Regions from separate parts of the Mus musculus genome. Here regions 2, 3, 4, 5, 6 and 7 are each reported to be linked to region 1. The links are microRNA targets in miRTarBase. Many come from high-throughput screens and were not tested one by one. Region 1 holds a microRNA gene; each other region holds the end of a gene's coding sequence. Distances are between the middles of the regions.

Region 1 (3,082 bases):
TGGCTGTGATGCCGATGAAGAGGTTGATGACGATGAGGAACACGTAGGCTGAGCTAGGGACCTCAAACCAGAAGGAGGCTGGGTACATGATGGGTGTGATGGACCACCTGTGGACAAACAGTGGTGGTCACAGGGCACCCCCAGCCACACCCACAACCATACATGCTCCACACCCCTCCCCAGCTCACCCATAGAGCAGGAACAAGGAGAGCACCGCGGGGAAGTTGGTGGGTGATGTGTAGGCAGGTAAGTCAAAGACAAAGAGGATGATCACGCAGCAGGTGGCTGGGACCAGGTAATTGAGCTGCAAAGGTGAAGGTGGAGGATGAGACCCGGGCGTAGGGATGGGAGTCAGGGACAGGGAGGGACCATGCGGGGGCACACCATGTCCCACACGTAGTTGGCCAGCCAGTAGATGACAGGGTTGCACCCGCTGACGAACTGCAGGTGTTTGGCCTTGGTGGATTTCTCTGCCACAAGGAAGACCACAAAGCTGGCTGGCACGAAGGACATGGCCACAATGATGAAGATGGCGATGACCACATCTGTGCCCTGCAGTCTAGAAGGGGACAGCACTCAGTTCCAGGAGGTGTCAGGACGAGGTGGTCCTGCCCCTCCTCAACTTGGTCTGCCTCACTCACAGGTAATCCAGGGAGAGGCTAGCACTGGTCTTGTTCATGGGGTGGTTGGTGACGGTGATGCCTGCACACGGGAAAAGGGTAGCTTTAGGTCCATGCAACCATTCGGCTCAGCTGCATCCCTGCCTGTCCTTCAACCCTGATTCTCCTTACCATAGGCTGCTGGATTGCCCTTGCTTTTGGGTAGGTTTGCACGCAGAATGGCATTGTTGAGGCTGTTGAGGTAGGTGGGCATGCTGTGGTAGCCCTTGTTATTGTAGAGCACCTGGGGAGGGGCAAGGACCTCAGAGAGGCTCAGAAACCAAAAGTTATTAGGCTTAGGACCAGGTGCCCAAAACCCAAGGGCAGCCGCCTACCTGAGCCACCCTCCGCACTGCAATCTTCCGCACCATAGGAGGGACCCGGGCACCAAAGGATGCTGGGATAGACTTCTGAACATTACCAAAGGTGATGGCTCCATATCTGTACAAGACAGGTGGGAGGGTCACTGAGGCTCGGCAGCCATCTGCCAGGCACCCCTTGTTCACAGCCACTTCAGGCCAACTTACCGGTGTAGTCGGAAACGGTCAGAGGTGAAGAGCAGGTACTCAGAAACATTGTGGCCAGTGATGTCAGTCAGGATGTCACCTGTGACCACTCTCATCTGGGGTGGGTGTCCACCCACACTGCTGGGGCATGAGAACCCCGTGCCCTGTGCAGAGCAGGTACAGCGGACTGGCTCATGCACTAGGCGTGGCAGAGAAGGCGCCGACGTCCACGTCTCTGTGGGCACAGTGCAGCACAATGAGATGGGTCACTCATGCCTGTGCCCCCCGGAGCCTTCCCTGAGGTAGTACCTGGCCCAGCAGTAGGTGGCAGGGACATGTTCCAGGCTTGCAGTGAATCCTCATCTGGGGACACGGGTGAGTCAGAAGGGGCGGGTGAGGGCGGAGGTGGCACGAAGTTGGACAGTGGCAGCCCCTGTGTGAAGGACTCCAGGCACATACTGTCGAAGAACCGTGCCGCCAGCAGGCGGGACTCTCCACTGCTTAAGTTCAGCATGGGTCCCAGGGAGCCGTTGGCAGGAGACTTGAGCACACAAGTGGCACCCACACCAGAGGGCAGCCGGAATGTGCTCACCAGCTGCTGGGGGCTGGCATCAGGTGACAGCCGTAATCTGAGGACATGACAGTGAGTTAGGAGCCATAAGTCTCAACTCTTGCCCTGCCCTGTGCTACAGCCCCAGCCCACGGCCTCACCGGTACTCCTGGCGTTCCTCATTGGCATAAGGGATAAAGTTGCCACGGGGCTGGGTGTAGTTGTGGTACTGAGAGGGTGACAGGACCAGTGGAGGTAGGTCACCTGATGGGTGAATACGGAGACCTGAGCAGACTGCAGTTATCTGATGCCAGCCCCAGCCCTAACACAGAGAGGGCTGAGCTTGTGGGGATGACTCCTAAGGAGACAGATCCTCTCATGAGCCCCTGAGTAAGGTTCAGAGTGTGAGGAGAGGAGCTCAGGACTGTTCTACAGGGGGCTGGGAGAAAAATGAAGCCAAGACCCAGGGGCAAGACAGTAGCCTCGCCCCAGACCACATGGGCCAGGCACCCTTACCAATCTCAGGGACAGACAACGCCACAGTCATGGCCACACAGACAAAGAAGGCAGGCAGCAGAATCTGAGAGCAGAGAGCTTTGGAGTTCCGACGAGCACAGTGGAAGCGCTTCACCAGGAGCCCATGGAACTGCCGCATCTTCAGCCACCAGCCCTCGAGTTTGCGGCTGCCCTGGCCCACCTGAGCCAGGGCCTCCATCTCTGCCTCTGTGCAGAGAGGCAGAGGTAAATAGCCAGTCCCACGCCACCCTTCTGGACCCTCCCCAGTTTCCCCATTGGCTTCCACCTTGTAAGCTGACATTGTCTGGGTCCTGCAAGTTGTCAAAGAGGGGACGGTAGTCACCGTAGCCATCAGAGTAGCCGGTGCCCTCCTCCCCACGGGCAGAGCCCACAGAGGATGCAGACTGCAGCGATGCCTGTGACTGTGCCAGCTCTGAGCACCGAGCCAGGTTGCCAGCTTGACCCCCCACAGCTGTCAGGCCCTCTGCCCCAGGCAGCACATCCTTCCGGGACTCCTTCACATCTGCAAACAACAGAGGCGGTGAGGGAGGGAAGGCTTGGGCCAAGGCTCTCCTCTCCAGGACATCTTAGTACCTCAGTCCCTAGTGTCCTCCCATAACCCCAGGCCCTGCCTTGATCCCAGCCTCTAATTCACATACCTACTCACAGGTAGGCAGAGCTACCATACCATCCACCACGAGCCTATCCTGACCCCACTTCCAGAGACTTACAGAGAAGCAGTGTCCCCAGGGCCTTCTGTGGGTAGCTGGACAGACCGCCAGCCTTGGGTGCTCTTACCAGCCTCGCTGTTCTCCAGTGACTGATCTTCTTCAGACACCTTGAGGAACACC
Region 2 (3,082 bases), not on the chromosome of region 1:
GAATTGTGCGAGAGTGGGGTTCCTACCATTGCCTTTTTTGGTGCTGCCCTGTGTTCTAGATTTGCCTTGTCTACCTTCTTGGACACAGAAGTAGGGGCACCCAGCCTTTCAGAACAGTGGATCATGGTTGAATTATGTTGCTGCTGGGTAGGGAAGGTGTATTAAGTAGATCTCTCTAAGACTTCACCGAGAAGGTCACAGGCAAAATTTGTTTAACCCCAAATGTCTTAGATTTTTGAACAGACTTGACTGTGCAATTTGTCAGATTTCTTTTGGGAACAGTAGTCATAAATGTTTTGTCAGTGGGTACATTGAACTTACTTTTACTTTCTCTTTCTTTAGGACAACGACACCACCAAAAAGAAAAAGAAGAAGAAAGTAAAAGTGGTAGAAGAGATGTCTGAATAGTTTAAGCCACTTCTGGAAGCATTATGTCCAGCTGGGAAGAAAAAGAAAAGCCTTATTGGAAAAACTTTTTGTTGAGGGAGAACAGAGGTCCCAGAGTAGAAAGTTCTGGTATACTTTTAGCTGCCACTTGTGACCTCAGTGGTTAGCTGGTGTGGCCATCTCATCCCATCCTGTCCTGTTTTAAGGATATGAGAGATAAAATCAGGCCTTTGCCACCAACCCCTCTGCTTGCTTGAGGAAGCCACACCTTTAGACATGGCATGGCCTAGTAACTATCTGCAGCTATTTACTAATGAGCATTTTCAACAATGCCATAGATAGTCCTCTCCTACTTTGCTTTTTAAAAAGTTGGTAAAAATTAAATCTGCTACATAAAATGGTATAGAACCTTCTGTGAGAGAAAAAATGTAATTGAACTATGTTCACTGGGGGACTCTTATCTCCAGTGTTCTATGAGGACTGCTCTATTCAGGTATTAACCTTGCCTGGTGGTATCTATGATATTTAGGCTAGTACTCTGTATTTTTGTGTACAACAGGATTTCTCTATATGGCTACTTGTGTTTCTTATGGAAGCCAAAGCATTCCTGTACCTTCCTATTTGTTTTCTTTTAAAGAATGGAATTGCCGGGCGTGGTGGCGCATGCCTTTAATCCCAGCACTTGGGAGGCAGAGGCAGGTGGATTTCTGAGTTCAAAGCCAGCCTGGTCTACAGAGTGAGTTCCAGGACAGTCCAGGCTATACAGAGAAACCCTGTCTCGAAAAAAAAAAAACCAAAAAAACAAAAAACAAAACAAAAAAACCAAAAAACAAAAAAAACAAAAAAAAAAACAAAAAAACAAAAAAAGAAAAAAAAAAGAATGGAATTGTTCAGAATGGAATTGTTCATTGCTGAAGAATGTAATTTGTAGTTTTTTTTTTTTTAAAAAGTATTCCTGTTAGATTTACTATGATAATCTTGGACTGGCAACAAAAGTGAGAGAATATTTTTATTAAAAGTCTGAGGTTTATGTCCTATTTTGAATTTGCTTTTCCTTTGGCTACTTTTAAATTTCCTAATTCTGAGTCTTTCTTACATTGGCACTGGGGCCTATCTGCTCTCAAGGGAGATCATTACTAATCCAGGGTTAAGAGGAAAGGGGTAGATGCATTTATATTGTACTGGGCTTGTGAAGAGGTTGGAGGTACTCCAGGTAGGAAACTGCCAGTTTTGGTGTTGACTGCAGAGGGAGCAGGGAACTTTGCTTAAATATGTGCCCAAAACCAAGAATATAAACACAAGTTTTAGGGGAAATTGTTAATAGCATAGGCAGGTATAGAATGCCCAAACAGCCCCTGCTTTTGTAACATGTTTTAAACCATTCTCTTACGACTTAACAAGTCCTAGAGAAGACGCCTTTGTGCATTGTGAATACCAGACCTATAGAGGCAGTGACAGGTAATTCCCAGAGATCTTATGTTAATGTCATTGCTTGGAAGGTTAAGATTGGGAATGGAGTTACAGGGTCACGGGTACTTTAACACAGCAGCATTTTTATTGCTTTGGAAGATTTTCCCTACAGCAGACATTCTATTGCACAGCTGTTTGATTTTGGCATTTTAGAAAGTTTTCAGAAGATATTTATTCCAGAGTAAAAAGACATTCTATAGTTGAAAGCAAAGGAGCTCAGGCTTCAGGGGGACAGTTGGTTTATCTATGTAGCATTGCATTTGGTTATTCTTATGGCAATTTTCCAGAGATCATTTTGAAATGTAGATAGTAGGAAAGCTTCACCCCTTTAGGAGCCTGAGTAAGAAAACAGCAGAGCTAAAAGTTGAAGCAACCCTTTTGGCTTAAGCAAGGGAGGGGGTGCGGGGAGGTGGCATTCCAAATGCTGGCTGAAACATGTTTGCCAATTCTGTAAGCTTAGTAAACCCAGGAGACAGGCACCCACTGTGGAGAACTGCAAGCCTGGTCAAAGGCTTCTTGCAATTTCTTAAGAGTTTCATCAACACTATTATTCACCAAAGAGAGGTCAAAGTAATGAGCATACTGACTACGGATGGCCTCAGAGTCCTTCTGCAGCTGCTGCAGGGCTTCAGTCTGCAAAGAAGAAAGCCATAGATGAAGCAGCAGTCTTTAATCACAGCAGCAAAGGGAAGATTTAAACAAGTTTACATTAACTGGTTCCCCATCTGTTTTTTTGCATGGTGGTGATCCATCCTGTGGCCTAGTATCTGCTAGGTAACCAATTAAGAATATAATGTTTGCCAAAGGGGTTGAGAACCACTTAACTATTCTAATGAATGCCAAACTAACCCTAATTACCTAGCACAGCCTTCACTAGCATTCACTTAGTTTTAGCCCTTTGTTTATGGAAAAGCCATTTTAGCAACTACTACAGCTATAATCCAAGGATAAGGGAGAAAGTTTATTGACAAGTCTCAAGCCTCTGGCTCCAATGGTCAGTTAACTACATAAAGGCAAAAGGATAGAGAAATATGTGTCATAGTGGTGGTGGGGATATTTGTAACTTTCATTACAGGGAAGTACCATAATATAGAATTCTTAGATGAAGTCACTAACTCAATGGAAACATGAGCTAAGGATATGGCCAGATATACAAGCAATACAAATAACTTTTAATAAGTGTGTGTGGCAGTCTTATTGACTCGACTGCCTTTGAACTCCAGAC
Region 3 (3,082 bases), not on the chromosome of region 1:
GGCTCAAGAATACAAACTGACTTTTCTAAATGAATTAGACATTGCATCTCTTGTTATAGCTGTATTTTATAGAAGCCAGTTTGCTCTTTTAACCAAGGGGTCTTGATTCTAAATGCACATGGAAATTACTTTGGGAACTTTAATTAAATATACAGATACCACTACCTCCTTTCTGCCAGCATCCTCAGAATTTCTGCATGTGGTGATTACTGTTAACTCAGGGCTGAGGACCACTCAGATAGCTAGCATGAGATGTTATGTCTTTTTAAAATACCAGCCCTGGTTGCTGGAGTAAAGTATAGCACCCTAGCTGCTGACAAGTTCTTGGGTTTCAAAAGTTGTCACCATCACAAAGTTGTCACTATCATGCTTTACTTTGTGTTTCAACCCACCCATGTGGAGAGTCTGTCTCGTCTTTGCACCCATCTTTGAACCTCTCATAGTCTTCTCTGAAAATCACATCTGTTTCTGCAAGATAACACCTAATTTTACTCACCTCTTTTTTTTTTAAGGTTGTGTGGAGGAAACTTGGAGATGCTGCAGGCTCCTGTCCTGGAATTAGGCAACATTTGTCAGGAAACCAGTACAAAGGGCCTATGTGAAAAGCACTGCCTTCAAACATGACATCATCACTACTAGAGACAGCAGAAAAAGAAGACAAAGAAGAAATTCAGTTTCTACAAAATAAAACTCATGACATCACATGGAGTGATTGTACATTGCTCATATCTCCCTTCTAAATCCTTTAGTGTACCTTCTCCCATACAGCTAATATGTGCTATAAGTCTCAACTTTAGTGTTCATAGCAGTCTCAAGGTAGCTTTGGAAAATCGTTTTAGTATTAATGAAAGTATTAATTTCATGAAAGCTGAAATGTTTTTGACTCTTCACAACCATGATTGACATATTGGGTAGTCTGCATGGTTGGATGAGTCCAGTAGAGTCCCTGTGGCTTTGATAGAGGTGGTTCATTATATCTAATGGTAGGAGCTTTCTACTGTGTGGAAGATATGAAAAAGTATTTTTGAGCATACAACCTGGGTTGGGAAGCTCCCTCATATATATAGCAGTTGAGGAAAGATTGCTTCCTGATGCAAATTTAGTTGGATGCAAGATAACATTTGGTTTTCTCATTTGAATTCTGAGGTGCTAAAAAATAACACAAAATATTTTACCAGCTAGAAAGGTAGGAGGAATTTTTAAAAATGCTTAGCAGAGAGTATCATTTATTTTCATTTGGTCAAGATAAATAATTTAATTTTGATGAGTTGTTTATAAAGGCATGTCTTTGGACCATACAACCCTTCATATATATTCAACTTACCAATGTCAACTAACAAGGAAACAAACATAATTAATTTTTCTAGGAGTTTCAAGCTGTGACATTGTCTGTTTCTACAACTTAGTTTTTAGACATGCTGTATACTTAATAAACTTTATGTAAACTTTAAAGTCTTGCACTGCCCTAGGAAACAGAAGCTTTCTTTGCATATCACTGCAGCTATCTAATGTCTTAGGAGGCTAACGCATGTCCATTATTGAGGCTAAATACTCTTTTCAGATTGCTTGAGATGTGTGCCAGCTTTGCTAGTTTTCTGCCTAGTGGTATAGATGTATAATATTAGAATGTGTGTACTGGAAATGCTATGATATTTTGTGTTTATCTAAATTTAATGATCGTTTCTTGTATGAATGTTCAAGAGGCCTGTGACAGAATGCTGTTTTTACCATAGTTTAAGATTATAAAGTAGGGATGCAACAATTCCTGGATAGCTTCTAAACTTATGATTTGATTCACAGTCAATATTCTTTGTTGTCTATAAATGAAATGGTTTTATTATATAATTTATTAATGAACATTGGCAGGAGAATGAGAAGAAATTTGCCATAGTAAAAATACCTAATTGCTACTTCCAAAACCGCCCTCTATCTTCTGAAAATATTTATGGGTTCATTTAACATAGAATCATCTTTCTAATTATCATTACTGAGTTATAATTTAAGACTCTTCCTTTAAACTGCTATAGTTTTAGTGTCTAAGAGAAAATTGTTACACACACACACACACATACTTTCTCACACAGAAACATCCTTCAATTGTTGTATTCCTACAGTCTGAAGATATTTAAACAAATTTTTGTGCTTGCAGTAGATCCTGCAGTAGCGATACAAAGGACATTGGTCTTTTGACAAAATACTTGTGCAAATTTTGATACTGTATCAAAACTATTTTTTTAAAGTTCCACATAAAATTGAGTATTAAGTATATGTGTTCATCTTAGCAACAGTAATAAATTATTTAATCTCACAGTATTTTTGTCTGTTTTGAAATGTTCTTCCTTAACAGAATAAATTTCTAATAGTCACTGAATATCATCCCTTGTGTGATTATGATACTAGTAGTAATATAGATCAAAATAAAAGACATGCAAAAGGCATATTAAAAATATGCTTATGAGGGACTTAATAGTCAGAGACATCTTAATTTATACCATTTTCTATTATAGCCTCCAGGAGTATGATTTAGGAACAGTTGAATTTTCTTAATAAAATTCTCAGTTCTTAAACTTATACTTGGAATGGAAATACTAAAATAGTTTTGAAACAATCAGCATTATTTTATGTATTTGTGGGAAATTTTATAGTAGCACATAAGGCTTCTTAGAAGTTGCTAATAAGATGGTAAAATGAGGCTTCCTGTGCTGAGCATTATACCAGTTTTAAGTAATGGCGTACATTGATCCCATGAGTAATACTGTTTTCCTATGGGATCATTTCAATAAATTTACTATCTAATCATTCCTGCAACAAAGCCTAATTTACATGTCTTGACAGTACTTTTAGCTGCCATGATGCTGATAGACTGTCACAATCTAACTTTTAATGAATGCCTTTCTCATTTTTAGCACATGCTTAAAGCTCTGTAGGAATTTGTCAGCTCATGTGACATTCCAAGAGTTTAATTGGTATGATTTCCCCTTAGTTCAGTGAATATTTAGTGATGCCTACCACTGCCATACAATTTTGGGCTAGCCAACCATGGTTCTTCGGGATTCTCAAGACATACAAGGATGAATAATAT
Region 4 (3,082 bases), not on the chromosome of region 1:
GCCCAGCACCACGGGCTACATGGTGGCTCTCGTGTTGCTCAACTCTCTCTGTTTCCTCATAATGACCATTGCCTACACAAAGCTCTACTGCAGTTTGGAGAAAGGAGAGCTGGAGAATCTTTGGGATTGTTCGATGGTGAAGCACATTGCTCTGTTGCTCTTCGCCAACTGCATCCTTTACTGCCCCGTGGCTTTCTTATCCTTCTCCTCTTTGCTAAACCTCACCTTTATCAGTCCTGACGTCATTAAATTTATACTTCTCGTGATCGTCCCACTTCCTTCCTGTCTCAACCCACTTCTCTACATTGTCTTCAATCCCCATTTTAAGGAGGATATGGGCAGCCTGGGAAAGCATACCCGTTTCTGGATGAGATCAAAACACGCGAGTCTGCTGTCCATTAACTCGGACGATGTTGAGAAACGGTCCTGTGAGTCAACCCAAGCCTTAGTATCCTTTACCCACGCCAGCATAGCCTATGACTTGCCTTCCACTTCCGGGGCATCACCAGCTTACCCCATGACTGAAAGCTGTCATCTCTCTTCAGTTGCATTTGTCCCATGTCTCTAGTGACTATGAGAGAGGAACGTTTTTAAGAGTTGGAAACCTGAAAAGTGATTTCTATCAGAGCAGTAGCTAAGAAAAGCTGAGCTAAAAACCTACCTTAAAACCCAAGCAAACATCTCTAAATTGGTGTGGAAACAGTGGTGCCTTAGAGCAGGAGAGCATCATTAAACACCGCTTGTATCATTTGTTCAGCTAAGAAGGAAAGCCATCAAGTCACTTAGGTGAACCCAGATGAGAAAAGCAGCCTGAAATGCTCTTCGCATTGTAGTCTCTTCTGACTCACCAGCATAGTCTCCCATAGTGAGAAGACTCGTTGGATGACTCAATGGGTGTATTTAAATCCACAAATTCCTTGTTTAAAAGGTTAGAGTTTTAAGAAAAAAAAAAAAAAGGATCTTTAATGGGCTATGTTGCCCACAGAGTTTAGTTTTAATGGCTACACAGAGATGGTTGTGTGTCTTTTTGCCTTTTGACGGACAGGCTCCTTCCAAGACACCAGTTTCTTGGACTGACATTTTTAATCCATATATAAATTTAAGATACTGGCTTCTAAGCCGGGCGTGGCGGCGCGCGCCTTTAATCCCAGCACTTGGGAGGCAGAGGCAGGTGGATTTCTGAGTTCGAGGCCAGCCTGGTCTACAAAGTGAGTTCCAGGACAGCCAGGACTATACAGAGAAACCCCTGTCTCAAAAAACAACAACAACAACAACAACAAAAAGACACTGGGTTATATAGATAAGTATCCAGTGCATTCTCCCTTGCTGAGATAAAACTGGTTTCAAGGTTTTTTGGAACATTAACTTAAATGGTTCCTCGAGCAATTATATATAGGTAAGATTTGGTTATCTTCCTCGAGCAATTATATATAGGTAAGATTTGGTTATCCTGATTCGTCTTTTAAAATCCTGGAGTCTGAAGCTCAGAAAGTTCGTTGTCAGCCGTGGTCATAGCTACGAAAGACAGTATGAAATTGTCGGATCTGTATTTATTTCTGAGTAGGAGCATGCTTCTGGCAAGATGTTCATCACTCTCTCAAATGGCTGTGCATTTTCAGTGCTCAAACGCAGGGCGTTAAGTCCACTGTGTAACTTCACACACCCATCTCTGGTAGCTCGAGCAACAATGCCTCTCCACACTTCGGACTCAACAGAAACTGGGCAAAGTAGGATTCGGTGCATTTAGCTTGGTTTTAGCTGTGTCTTGTTTCCGGATCAACCACTTGATATGAAGTTCATTACTTCTCTGCTTAGTCCATATTCACGCAGGTGTTCGATGTTTCAAGACAAATTGTTAAATCTGGAGAGCGAAAGGTTTATTCTTAACTTCTGTGATCTTACATTAGCTTTGCTGCACCCGAACCAAAAGGCCATTAGGTAGATTTATTTTTATATAAGCATGTTTTATTTTGACCAGATGTTTTAATGTGGAATTTAAAAAAAAATACATTTATGAGATGTTTTATAAGATGTGTACATATAGACTTGTATTTATTGCTACAGGAAAAATGCAGTGACATTAAAGAACATGATAATAAACCATGTACAGTAGCCTATTCTCCCAGACATATTGTTTCTCTGCCAATTTCCCCAATGCATTAACTGTACATAACACATGTAAATACGTAGTGCTTGTAAATAGATCCAGAATTTGCTTTTCTACTGGGCTCAAAATAAATTTGTAATAAAATGTGTGACTTGCAAAACAAACTAGCTCTTTCAAGTGTATTGATTGAGAATGTAGACAAATGCACGATCTTCTAATGTTTTTAAGTACTGGTGTATATATTCCTACCTATTTGTGCTCTAATCCTTTAGATATGTTGGACTCAAATTTTTCATGAGAATGAACCAAAATATATTTTTTAGCTTCTGAATTATCTTCCCTGTAACTCCTAAGTTGTGGCTTTAGTGTAATTTGTTGTCCCCCATGAGGATTTGGATATGATAGTCTACAAACTAGTTTCAAATTTCTTAGTAATATAAGAAAAAAAAACATTTTAAAGCCTAATAAGAAAAACATATGAAAAGCAAACCAATCTTAAATTGTCTAAGGTGTGGACATGTGTATATATCCTAGAGTGGATATATGTGCATATATCCTAGAGTGGATATACACACATTTCATGACCATGTCAAGAACATTCACTCCCAGCATACAATAAAATGCACTGCTACCATTCAGTTCCCATTGCCCAAAACACAGGAAATATAATTTTCTAGACACCCCATGTCAGACTAGCAACTTCAAAAGGCTCTGCCTGTGCCCCCCTGGACTGTATACGATGGAGGACCAGCACGACTGCTATAAGCCAATGCTCACAGCACACTCCCAGGATTGCTGGCACTACCTACCCCATGTCCATCAGACTTAACCGTATCCTGAATCCCAACCCTAGTTAACGGGATCCCGCTGTGCAGTCTGTACTTAATTCATCTTTGGGTAAAATAGGAGCTTCTCCCTCTTGGCTCCATCCCTTCCAACTCAGGTTACAGAGAACACACCTCTACCTTTCTTCTC
Region 5 (3,082 bases), not on the chromosome of region 1:
ACACATTAGAAATCTTACCAAGTACAACCTCTATCTGCACATAAGCTCCAAGAGGAAATCCAAGGCAGATCAAACAAGGGTGGTGATGCCCACACCACCCTTTAGACAAATAAATTAGCTTCCCAGGAAGTTGCTCCCAGCTTCCCCCAGGAGTTTATGAGGACCACCTTAGGTCCTAAGAACCAGTGACAGCAGTGTCAGCCCGTTCACCACCCAGACTAGAGAAAGAAGGGGAGAAGAGCCTCCCCCACGGAGTGTGTCACCTGCTAGCAGGCTGCTCGGCTATGCGCGATGCACATTCTAACCTTACTAGCCAAGTCCTTTCTCGGTGCAGCCACTCAGTACTTCCTTGTGTCAAAGCAAGAACATTTTCCCACGTTAACCCAAACCTCCACCTCCTATCCTGAAACCCTGACCACAGGACTCACGGGAGTGTGCCGACAGCAGGTGCTATGATCACAAGATAATCAGAGATCCAGGAAGGAAAGGGAAGGGAGGCTGAAGGAACAGGAAGCAGGGGATAAGAAGACAAAGTGTGATAGCTTTAAAGAAAATGTGAGTTTCTTTGGATGGCAATGCTGTCTTCAGCACTGGGGAAACCGAGAAACTGTCAGGGTCCACTTTGCTGAATAACCTATAATGAACACACACCTGAATTTCTGTTTTCTTCTAAAAATTTAGTCTGACACTTTAACCCTGAGTGCAAACAGGGAGACATACCTTAAAAAATACCAAACCTCTTCAGCAAATCAGAGCCTGTTGTTTTAAAGGTGAGTTACTTATAGCTCTCCCCGAAGTACAATGAAGCCTTAGATGACTAAACAGTTTGAGAATAAAAATTCTATATTCAAATCTCTCCCATCTCAACTTCAGAACACATATACTTAAGAAGTGAAAGCAAAGGAGGAAAGAGCAATGGATTCGGAGTTCCTGGTTTTGTATTAAATGCCTCCATCTCTGTGGATGTTCAATCAGTAAAGCTAATTTGGAGCCCACCAGAATCCCCCAGTGCCTTGGATGTAATAGTCCTAATCTAGTAAATGACCCAAAAAGAGGCCGGCGTTACAATACTTACTGCCCGAGTGTGAAACACAGTGTGAGGCGGCTTTTCTCTAACTGCTCGGAGCAGCTTTCCTGCCTGTTCTTTTCCGCAGAAAACATGACGAGTACGGCTGCTTGCCTGGGAACAATCCCTACTCACTTCACCAGTGTGCAATGGAATGCTGAGCCACAGCTTAGTCAGCACGGAAGTCCACCACTCTGCTGGCTCCCAGCATAAAGTGCTAATAACCATGCTAATCTCAGAATTCAACTGAATTTTCTTGATGTACACAGCAAGTAGCCTGGAAACTGGACTTAATACCTCCTTTTGTTTTTGCTTTATTTTTTGGGTTTGGTCCTAGAACTTACTCTGTAGACCAGGCTGGCCTTGAACTCACAGAGATCTGACTGCCTCTACCTCCCAAATGCCAGGATTAAAGGTGTGCGTGTCACCACTGCCTGGCTCAATATCTCCTTTTGTTAACACTATTTTAGTGTTTTGTGCTAATATTTGTTTTCTGAAGTTCAATATCCCGAGTTTAAAAAAAGAAATATGCAGTATATTCCTTAATCTACCGCAAAGTGTACATTAAATGTACAAGTTTCCTAATTTCAAGCCATTTAAAAGTGGTTACAGGCTACTAGATTTGAATGTGAGAGACTAGGGGGTATAAACTCAATCTCCCCAGTCTCGAGGCTCAGAGGCTTAAAAGCTTTCACTGTTACCTGCAGGGTGCAGTCACCGGCACAGACAAGGTCACCACTGTCCTAGGAAGAGCGCCATTACAGGCCAGTTACTCACAGGGTATGACTTCACGAGAGAAGAGAGAGCTGGGCATGTTGGTTCATACCTATAATCCTAGCATGTGGAAGGCTAAGGCCAGTTCAAAGCCTGGGCTATACAGTAAGCTCCAGATCAGCCTGGGCTAGAGTCTATGGTCTACCTCAAAATGAACAATGCCAAAGAGAGAAAAAGAAAAAGCGTGGGGGGCAGGTGGCAGAGAGCACAGTTTCAGTGTTTTTGGGCAAAGGTGGACATGGGGTAAGTTAGTGTCCATAGAGGATCATGCCTGGGTTGTAATACTCTTTCCTCTAGAGATGATTGTGGTTAATATGAACACAACCGGGGGATGACTAATTTGCTCTGGACATATCTGAGAACCTAAACAGAGGGGAAGCTGTCTTTCACTAAGTCAATTATCTTCCTGGTTCTAAAGAGTGAGTCCCTCCCTCTTCTCTTCCCTGAGATGTCAAATCCATGCCACCCAATAGCTTAGAGTCCCAAGACCTTTCCGCCTTTCCCCTCCTCCAATCTCCCTTAAACACGGCCCCCGGTGCGGACCGCTATCCTGTCTAACGCCGCTCTGGAGGAACAGTATGGTTTCAATCTGACTAGTTCTGGTTTTTGTTTTTGTGTTTTTTTAAGACACAAGGAACTGCAAAGTATTTTCAGAGAATCCATGGGTGTAGAGAAAAGACAGCAAGGGTCACCCGAGACGCACACTCTGGAAACACTTCCTTAGCCAATGTCACACCTGCTCGCCCTTTGGTGTGGGAATAAAGACTGAGCAGAGCTGCTGCTGGCCGCCTGAGAGGTGAGGCAGCCTAACTGTGGTCCGTAGCTTGCACTGCAGAAAACACCGAGCACTCCCAGGGCCGCCACCGTCTTCTGCCACCAGCACCCACTGTGGCCACCTGCAGACCATCGCATGCCATTTGGAATTGATTGTGCTGTTTCTCTATCTTTGTAAAATCAGTTCCACTTGTTTTGCGTTGAGAATTACAAGTGGGAGAGTGGCATCCTGTCTTCCACCAGCACAGTATCCGTCCCAAACTGGTCAGTACACTGCTTGATGGTGGCCAAGACATTCAGAAGCCGCTGGTCCACAGTGTCCAAGTGTGGATCGGAGAGCACAGGGGAGATGGGGTCATGGGCCATGGCAGATTTTAAGGCAGACTTTAGTACTCCATTCTTTAGATAATTCAGTCTATTCCAGGTTGAAACCCGAATGCTGGAAGAAAAAGTTTAAAAAAGAAATTA
Region 6 (3,082 bases), 92 Mb from region 1:
TTTGAATTCCAGTAAAAAGTTTAACAAAATGCCTACATATGTATAAAGTGAAGAAGCACACGACTTTGAAGTTATAGGGATCCAATGTTTTTATGATATAAATATGAGACACAGAAAACATAAAATAGGTATAAAATATCTTACAGTTTGTACAGTTCTTTCGAAGCTTTTACAGTATACATCTTTAGACAATTTCACAAGTGGTCAGTAAATGGGTGAGTCACTCCACAGAGAAGAAGAGCAGAGACATTGCTGTTCACAGACAGGATCAGTCCTTGCTTTGGCAGACACCCATCTGCCCAGACATTTCAAGACAGCCTGGTAAACAAAACCTCATGTGACAGGCCAAACTTTGTTCCAGATTGTATCAGGAGATCCCACCTGCTCCTACCATTCTGCAGGAACAGTACCAACTCAGACTTCACACATCCTTTGTCTTGGCTGGAATGTAAGAATTTGTGAGGAAAACTACTGTCTCCCACTATCTTTCCTGTCCTTTCTGCTGTCTGTAAGGTCATCTAGCTGTGATAAATGACTGAGGCCCTCTGAATTCCTATATTACAGATTATTTACACAAAATCTCACTGGGAGATCTTTATTGGGGATGAGAAATAAGAAAAAGGCATTGTCTAAAGAATCAAGCTCTACACTTGTACTAGTGCATAACAGAGTGAAAATACAAATTTTGAGGTCTTCCATTAGTCCTATCACTCCATAAAAGTTTCCACATAATATAGACACCTGCCAGAGGCGTAGTACCAGGTGCTATGCTTTTCACGTTTCTGAGATGGGATGTAGAAGAAGGATAACTGTGTGTAAAGTAGTTCATTAAAGTTTAGAGAGACACTCACCACAAGCCAGCTCTTTGTCACTGAAATGCTCCAAAGAGGTGTGCAAACAGGCAGTGGTCTTTCATCAAAGGAATATCTTAAATGATTTGAGTCCTTTAGGGGGCAGCACCATGTACAGTTCATATTCCTCTGTAGACTTTATGCTCTTGGTCGTAGGGTTGAAACTTTTAAACACTTTTTCCTTTGATTTTTCCAGACAGAGTTTCTCAGCATATCCCTTGCTGTCCTGGAACTCATTCTGTAGACCAGGCTGGCCTCAAACTCACAGAGATCAGCCTGCCTCTACCCACCGAGTGCTGGGATTAAAGGCATGTGTCCCCATTGCCCAGCTAGGTTTGGAACTTATTTAGTTCGATGAGACTCTTAAATTGCTTGTCTTGCATATTAAATTACAAGTTAGTGTGGTGCCAGACCTTCCTAGCATGGAAACAGTCTCCTCAAAAGGACACAATCAGATGAGATGTTTTTTGAAAGCTAAAAGGAAGCTGACAAGAGAGTTTGTGAATTGCTTCACAGGCAACAAGACAAACCCACTGATTTTAACCTTCACGAAAGAATACTGGGACACTGTTACTCACGGTTTTGTTAAGCAGAACAATTTACATTGTTAGCAGTTTGCCTTATAATGAGCAGAACTATACTTGCAAATTTGTGTAAGTGACTAAAAGGTGTTTGATTCACGTCTGCATTTTCTAAGGGAGAAGGTCCAAGCTCCATGCATGTCTGATACTATATATATACATTCTACACACATGTAAATACTGCCAGCTATGAAAGCCGTCACACCCATTAGCTTATTTGTAGATAATAAAAGTGAAGACAACTTAAGCACAAATTCAGTTCAAAAGAGAACCTTATGATAGATTACTTGAGAGAGAGAGAGAGAGAGAGACTAGAACATGAAGAATTAAACACTGTTCACAGACCATTTCTTTTAAAAAGTCACAGATTCTTAATTCTACCCACTATAGAAAGACTATCTGGATAAACGTGTTATTGTGGTTTGACTTAGCTATTTAGCTGTGTGTATGCCATGGTAATTGCTGTTTGTGGGTAGTGAGTGAGTTTTATTTTGTATTTCATAATGACTAAGACCTAGAGCTATAAGTTGGCCTGCAATTAGACAATGTCAAGTTCAATTAAGAAGCTCTGGATTTAAAACCAGGCTACATCGCTAGGAGTTCACTTCTAGGTAGATGTGCTGATGTGCCTATAAGCAAGGGAGGAAGGAGGCGGGCAAGTGAAGGACAGTGGGGAAAGAGGCTCTTGATGAGGTCTGAGGTAGCGAACACTGTAGGGATCAGTTTCACAAACAATGCAGGCATGTCAAAGTCACCACGCTTAGGCTATTGTTTCCGTTATGAGCGGGGTTTGGGTAGAACAAAGTAAGTCAGTTTGCGGAAGGCAGCAAATGGATTCACCAGGGACTCTTTATCTAAGTATGAATCAGTAAAGCGGGCTGCCTGGGACACCCTCAGGAAACTCTAGACTTATTTTAGCGCATGTTTGGTATTGGTTTCAGTAAAGAAAGAAGGTTAGAATAGGAATGCTCAGACTTTGCATGCTTGAGCTTTTCTTCCCTTTGATTCAACTGACTGAAAACCAACGACTCACATTAAAAACCGTTTAGGTAAAAACCAAGGATGTCAACAGTAGTGGCCAGCTCTACCCTTTTAAAGTCAGTCAATCTAAAGGTGCTGAACGTCTGCAATGAGTTTTGAAGTGAGATCCCAGTATACCCTCCTGCAGATTCTGGTCCTTGAAATTCTGGATTAAGCACTATCACCGTGGTCCATCTGGGCTAAGACATGATTGCTTTTCCCAAGCTGCAGGGATTCTATTTTCTTCTGTGCGTACTTCAGTTGGATCTTCAGAGCATCGTTATCTGCTTTCAGGGTATTTATTTCCTAAAAGGAAATGAGAATAAGGTGTGGTAATAGAGCAGCAGTGAATAGGAAATTAGTGACAGTATCAAGAGCATTATATTTGATTGGCATCTCCTGTTCCCTGTGGTTAAGAATTATAAACTATTTTCAAAGCAGTTATTTAGCTGTGAGTATAAAAGAACACATTAACTATCATGGGCATGCACAAATAGCAATTACTCTTTGTTATCAGATCTCAGATGTGAGTGGCTAGCAGGACAGAACAATCCATTCTTGGGCATTGGGTGGAGGAAGCCACAACTTTTGGGTAGTGTGACGCAGGCATCGTAACTTGACAGAAAGTAG
Region 7 (3,082 bases), not on the chromosome of region 1:
TGCTGGGACCGGGACTGGAGCTGCCGCTGCCACCCCTCCTGCTCACTGCTCTCGCACCTTCATCACGTTCAGTGATGATGCAACGTTTGAAGAGTGGTTCCCCCAGGGGCGACCCCCGAAGGTCCCGGTGCGGGAGGTCTGCCCAGTGACCCACCGTCCAGCTTTGTACCGGGACCCTGTTACAGACATACCCTATGCCACTGCTAGAGCCTTCAAGATCATCCGTGAGGCGTACAAGAAGTACATCACTGCCCACGGACTTCCACCCACCGCCTCGGCGCTGGGCCCCGGGCCCCCACCCCCCGAGCCACTACCTGGCTCTGGGCCTCGAGCCTTGCGTCAGAAGATTGTCATCAAATAGAGACACCTGACCCCTAGACAGTCCCTCTCCTGACCTGGCTCTCCACTCCGCCCTCCCTTCTGCCAACCTTCGCCCTTGTTTCCCTCAGTTCCTCCCTAGTTCATTTCATTTACTTGTGCTCTTCATTTTTTTAATCTAATAAAATGGTAAAATCCTTTTTGTCTGATGTGTAAGGTTGGGGCAGAGGCAGGGGGATTTCTGAGTTCGAGGCCAACCTGGTCTACAGAGTGAGTTCCAGGACAGCCAGGGCTAAACAGACAAATCCTGTCTTGGAAAAAAAAAAAAACAAATAAATAAATAAATAAACCACAAGTTCTTGCTAATTTATCCAGACTAATTTCAGACTCCTGGGCTCAAGCAAGCCTCCCATGTCAACCTTCCAAGCGCTGGGCCTAGAGGGGTAAATCACTGTTCCTGCTCTGTCCTTTTAAGTAGCATGTATTTACTAAGTAGTGGGTGTCATAAAGATGCCTGCACTCATGTCTATCATTTTTATTACACTTACCTGGGTTATCCATATTTAACTCTCTTAGTCTGTCTTAGTCAGGGTTCCTATTCCTGCACAAACATCATGACCAATAAGCAAGTTGAGGAGGAAAAGGTTTATTCAGCTTATACTTTCCACATTGCTGTTAATCACCAAAGGAAGTCAAGCAGGTCAGGGAGCAGGAGCTGATGCAGAGGCCATGGAGGGATGTTACTGGCTTGCTCAGTTTGCTCTCTTACAGAACCCAAGACTACCAGCCCAGAGATGGTCCCACCCACAAGGGGCCTTTCCCCCTTGTTCACTAATTGAGAAAATGCCTTACAGCTGGATCTCATGGAGGCATTTCTTCAACTGAAGCTCCTTTCTCCATGATAACTCCAGCCTGTGTCAAATTGACACATAAAACCAGCCAGTACATAGTCTCTTAAATACCAGAACAAAATCCTTACACTGAGTGTGTGTGTCTCTGTATGTGTCTATGTATACAACCACGTGTCGGGTGGTGCACCTATGCAGAGGCCAGGCAGGGTCATCTGTAATTCCACCTATCCTTTGAGACAGGCTCTCTTTCTGAACCTGGGCTCCTGTTCTCTAGGCTATCAGGAGCCAGCAAGCCCCCAATGTTCCTGTGTCTGCCACCCTGTTATGCTGTTATGTAGGTGCGGGGACCTCACAATTGTGCAGCAGTCTTAACCACCTGAGACCTCTCTCTCTCTCGTTTTTTCAGGACATGGTTTCTCTAGCCCTGGCTGTCCTGGAACTTGTTCTGTAGACCAGGTTGGACCTTGAACTCAGAAATCTGCCTGTCTCTGCCTCCCAAGTGCTACGATTAAAGGCATGTGCCCCCTCTCCCTTTTAAAAAAGTTAAAAAGGAAAAAAAAATTACTACAAGGCTTTGAGCTCACCATGAAGTTCATGCTGCTCTCCGTCTTGTAGCAGTCCTATCTTAGTGTCCCCTGTCAAGGGAATTCAGGTGTGAGGCACAATGGCTGTTACATTGATACATCATCTTCTATTCAGTGCTTTGAGCAGAACTGGTACCCTACCGTAGGAGTCATCTGATTCTCCACTGGAGGACTCTGCTTGCAGGGAAAGAGGACATGTCATGGCTGATACTGGCCACTAGAGGCTCTCAGGGCTGGGCAAGGTATGGGGTCTGTGTATATGTGATCTCCCACCACTCCCCACCTGGCCAGAGCTAAAATAATAAAATGCTGAGCTCACTGTTCCCCCACGCTCTCCCCCGGCACCAGACTCCTCCTGCTGACCGGACAGTGTCCCAGTAGAACAGACGGACCAACTGACAAGGGGAGGTGAGAGGTGACCATTGGGACTGGTAGGTGGGAACAAGGGGTCTTACGGGTGAGAGCCTGGTGGGAGATGGCAGAGTGGGCCTAGGGGAAGAGAGTTGGCATGTCTCTGCTGTGTCCTGCCGCCGATGTTTCTGTCTTGACTCTGTAGCTGCCTTGTCAGTGCCTCACGCTCAGTATCACCTTCCATGTTGAGTGTGGTATGTATTTAGAGCTTGACTGTTTTTCCCACTGAAAGGTGGTGCAAGTTTATCATCCCACCTCCTCATTTAGAAGACTTTTTTTTCTTCTTCTTCTTCTTTTACCCAGGGTTCCAGTGTCACCTTTCTGGTGACAGATTATGGGAACCGAATGCCTTCTGAGGCCACACTGCCCTTCCCCCAATCTGGAAGTGCCCCAGCTTCTAAGCCTTACTTTCCCTTCTGATTTAGACTTTTAGCAAACACAGAAAGTGAGGTCTTGGTCCTTGACAATGAAGGAGGGAGTGAGGGTGTCATTAGAGGCAACCACTCTAACCCAGTCAAGCCTCCTTGCTTACCAGTTTCCAACAGGCCTGGGTAATGGGGAAGAAAGGAGGAATTTTCCTGGAGCTCTCTGCCTCCCCCTCCCACCTTTCAATAGGAACTGGGCGTGGAGCCAGCTGTGCTGGCAGGGCCTCCAGCAGCTGTGTCAGGGCAAGAGACGTTGCCGGGTAAGGTTGTAGGGGAGGGTGCTACCAGGATTTCTCCATCGCACGGTGGGTGGATAGACCCAGCCTGGAGACTAGAATCCCCATCTAGAATGGCTAGAAAGTGCAGGGACTAGGAGGGAAACTAACAGTGAACTATCTGATTTTCCCATCCCTGGCAGACTCTAGTCTCTAAGGTCAGTGTCCTAACTATGGCTGGACTTCTTGTGCCCTCAGTGTCCACATCCAACAACTTT

Evidence for each region. The annotated mature microRNA mmu-miR-3087-3p reads UAACUCACUGUCAUGUCCUCA and lies in region 1 at 1,796-1,816, opposite strand. An mRNA with a match to its seed (bases 2 to 7 or 8) in the 3' UTR can be bound and repressed. Matches are read on the target gene's strand: a 7mer-m8 pairs with bases 2 to 8, a 7mer-A1 pairs with bases 2 to 7 and ends in A, and an 8mer does both.
Region 2: the mRNA of Dkc1 is a reported target of mmu-miR-3087-3p. Seed matches in the 3' UTR shown: 7mer-m8 at 1,124-1,130.
Region 3: miRTarBase lists Ccdc85a as a target of mmu-miR-3087-3p. Seed matches in the 3' UTR shown: 7mer-A1 at 1,989-1,995.
Region 4: the mRNA of Lgr5 is a reported target of mmu-miR-3087-3p. Seed matches in the 3' UTR shown: 7mer-m8 at 1,209-1,215.
Region 5: the mRNA of Fam20b is a reported target of mmu-miR-3087-3p. Seed matches in the 3' UTR shown: 7mer-m8 at 1,433-1,439.
Region 6: the mRNA of Rasgrp1 is a reported target of mmu-miR-3087-3p. Seed matches in the 3' UTR shown: 7mer-m8 at 1,111-1,117.
Region 7: the mRNA of Vps72 is a reported target of mmu-miR-3087-3p. Seed matches in the 3' UTR shown: 7mer-m8 at 589-595.

Annotation. Positions count from the first base shown.
Region 1 is chr2:25,441,547-25,444,628 of GRCm38, reverse strand. It overlaps Mir3087 (microRNA 3087), which reads right to left and starts at 1,850; the gene lies at 1,795-1,850. It overlaps Abca2 (ATP-binding cassette, sub-family A (ABC1), member 2), which reads right to left. Exons shown (of 49, transcript NM_001368624.1): 26 at 3,030-3,082; 27 at 2,518-2,754; 28 at 2,232-2,438; 29 at 1,877-1,979; 30 at 1,475-1,794; 31 at 1,187-1,400; 32 at 995-1,100; 33 at 792-903; 34 at 642-702; 35 at 385-559; 36 at 189-304; 37 at 1-107.
Region 2 is chrX:75,108,354-75,111,435 of GRCm38, forward strand. It overlaps Dkc1 (dyskeratosis congenita 1, dyskerin), which reads left to right. Exons shown (of 15, transcript NM_001030307.2): 15 at 343-1,423. The coding sequence ends at 408. It overlaps Mpp1 (membrane protein, palmitoylated), which reads right to left. Exons shown (of 12, transcript NM_008621.3): 12 at 1,380-2,490. The coding sequence ends at 2,314. Among named protein-coding and RNA genes, the nearest start is that of Gm25520, 8.5 kb to the left of the region's middle.
Region 3 is chr11:28,386,379-28,389,460 of GRCm38, reverse strand. Ccdc85a (coiled-coil domain containing 85A) reads left to right here. Exons shown (of 5, transcript NM_181577.5): 5 at 513-3,082. The coding sequence ends at 602. Among named protein-coding and RNA genes, the nearest start is that of Ccdc85a, 200 kb to the left of the region's middle.
Region 4 is chr10:115,449,500-115,452,581 of GRCm38, reverse strand. Lgr5 (leucine rich repeat containing G protein coupled receptor 5) reads left to right here. Exons shown (of 18, transcript NM_010195.2): 18 at 1-2,268. The coding sequence ends at 568. Among named protein-coding and RNA genes, the nearest start is that of Zfc3h1, 66 kb to the right of the region's middle.
Region 5 is chr1:156,678,590-156,681,671 of GRCm38, forward strand. Fam20b (family with sequence similarity 20, member B) reads right to left here. Exons shown (of 8, transcript NM_145413.4): 8 at 1-3,053. The coding sequence ends at 2,822. Among named protein-coding and RNA genes, the nearest start is that of Tor3a, 5.8 kb to the left of the region's middle.
Region 6 is chr2:117,279,919-117,283,000 of GRCm38, forward strand. It overlaps Rasgrp1 (RAS guanyl releasing protein 1), which reads right to left. Exons shown (of 17, transcript NM_011246.3): 17 at 65-2,758. The coding sequence ends at 2,624. Among named protein-coding and RNA genes, the nearest start is that of Fam98b, 32 kb to the left of the region's middle.
Region 7 is chr3:95,122,418-95,125,499 of GRCm38, forward strand. It overlaps Vps72 (vacuolar protein sorting 72), which reads left to right. Exons shown (of 6, transcript NM_009336.2): 6 at 1-634. The coding sequence ends at 361. It overlaps Tmod4 (tropomodulin 4), which reads left to right and starts at 2,097. Exons shown (of 10, transcript NM_016712.4): 1 at 2,097-2,161.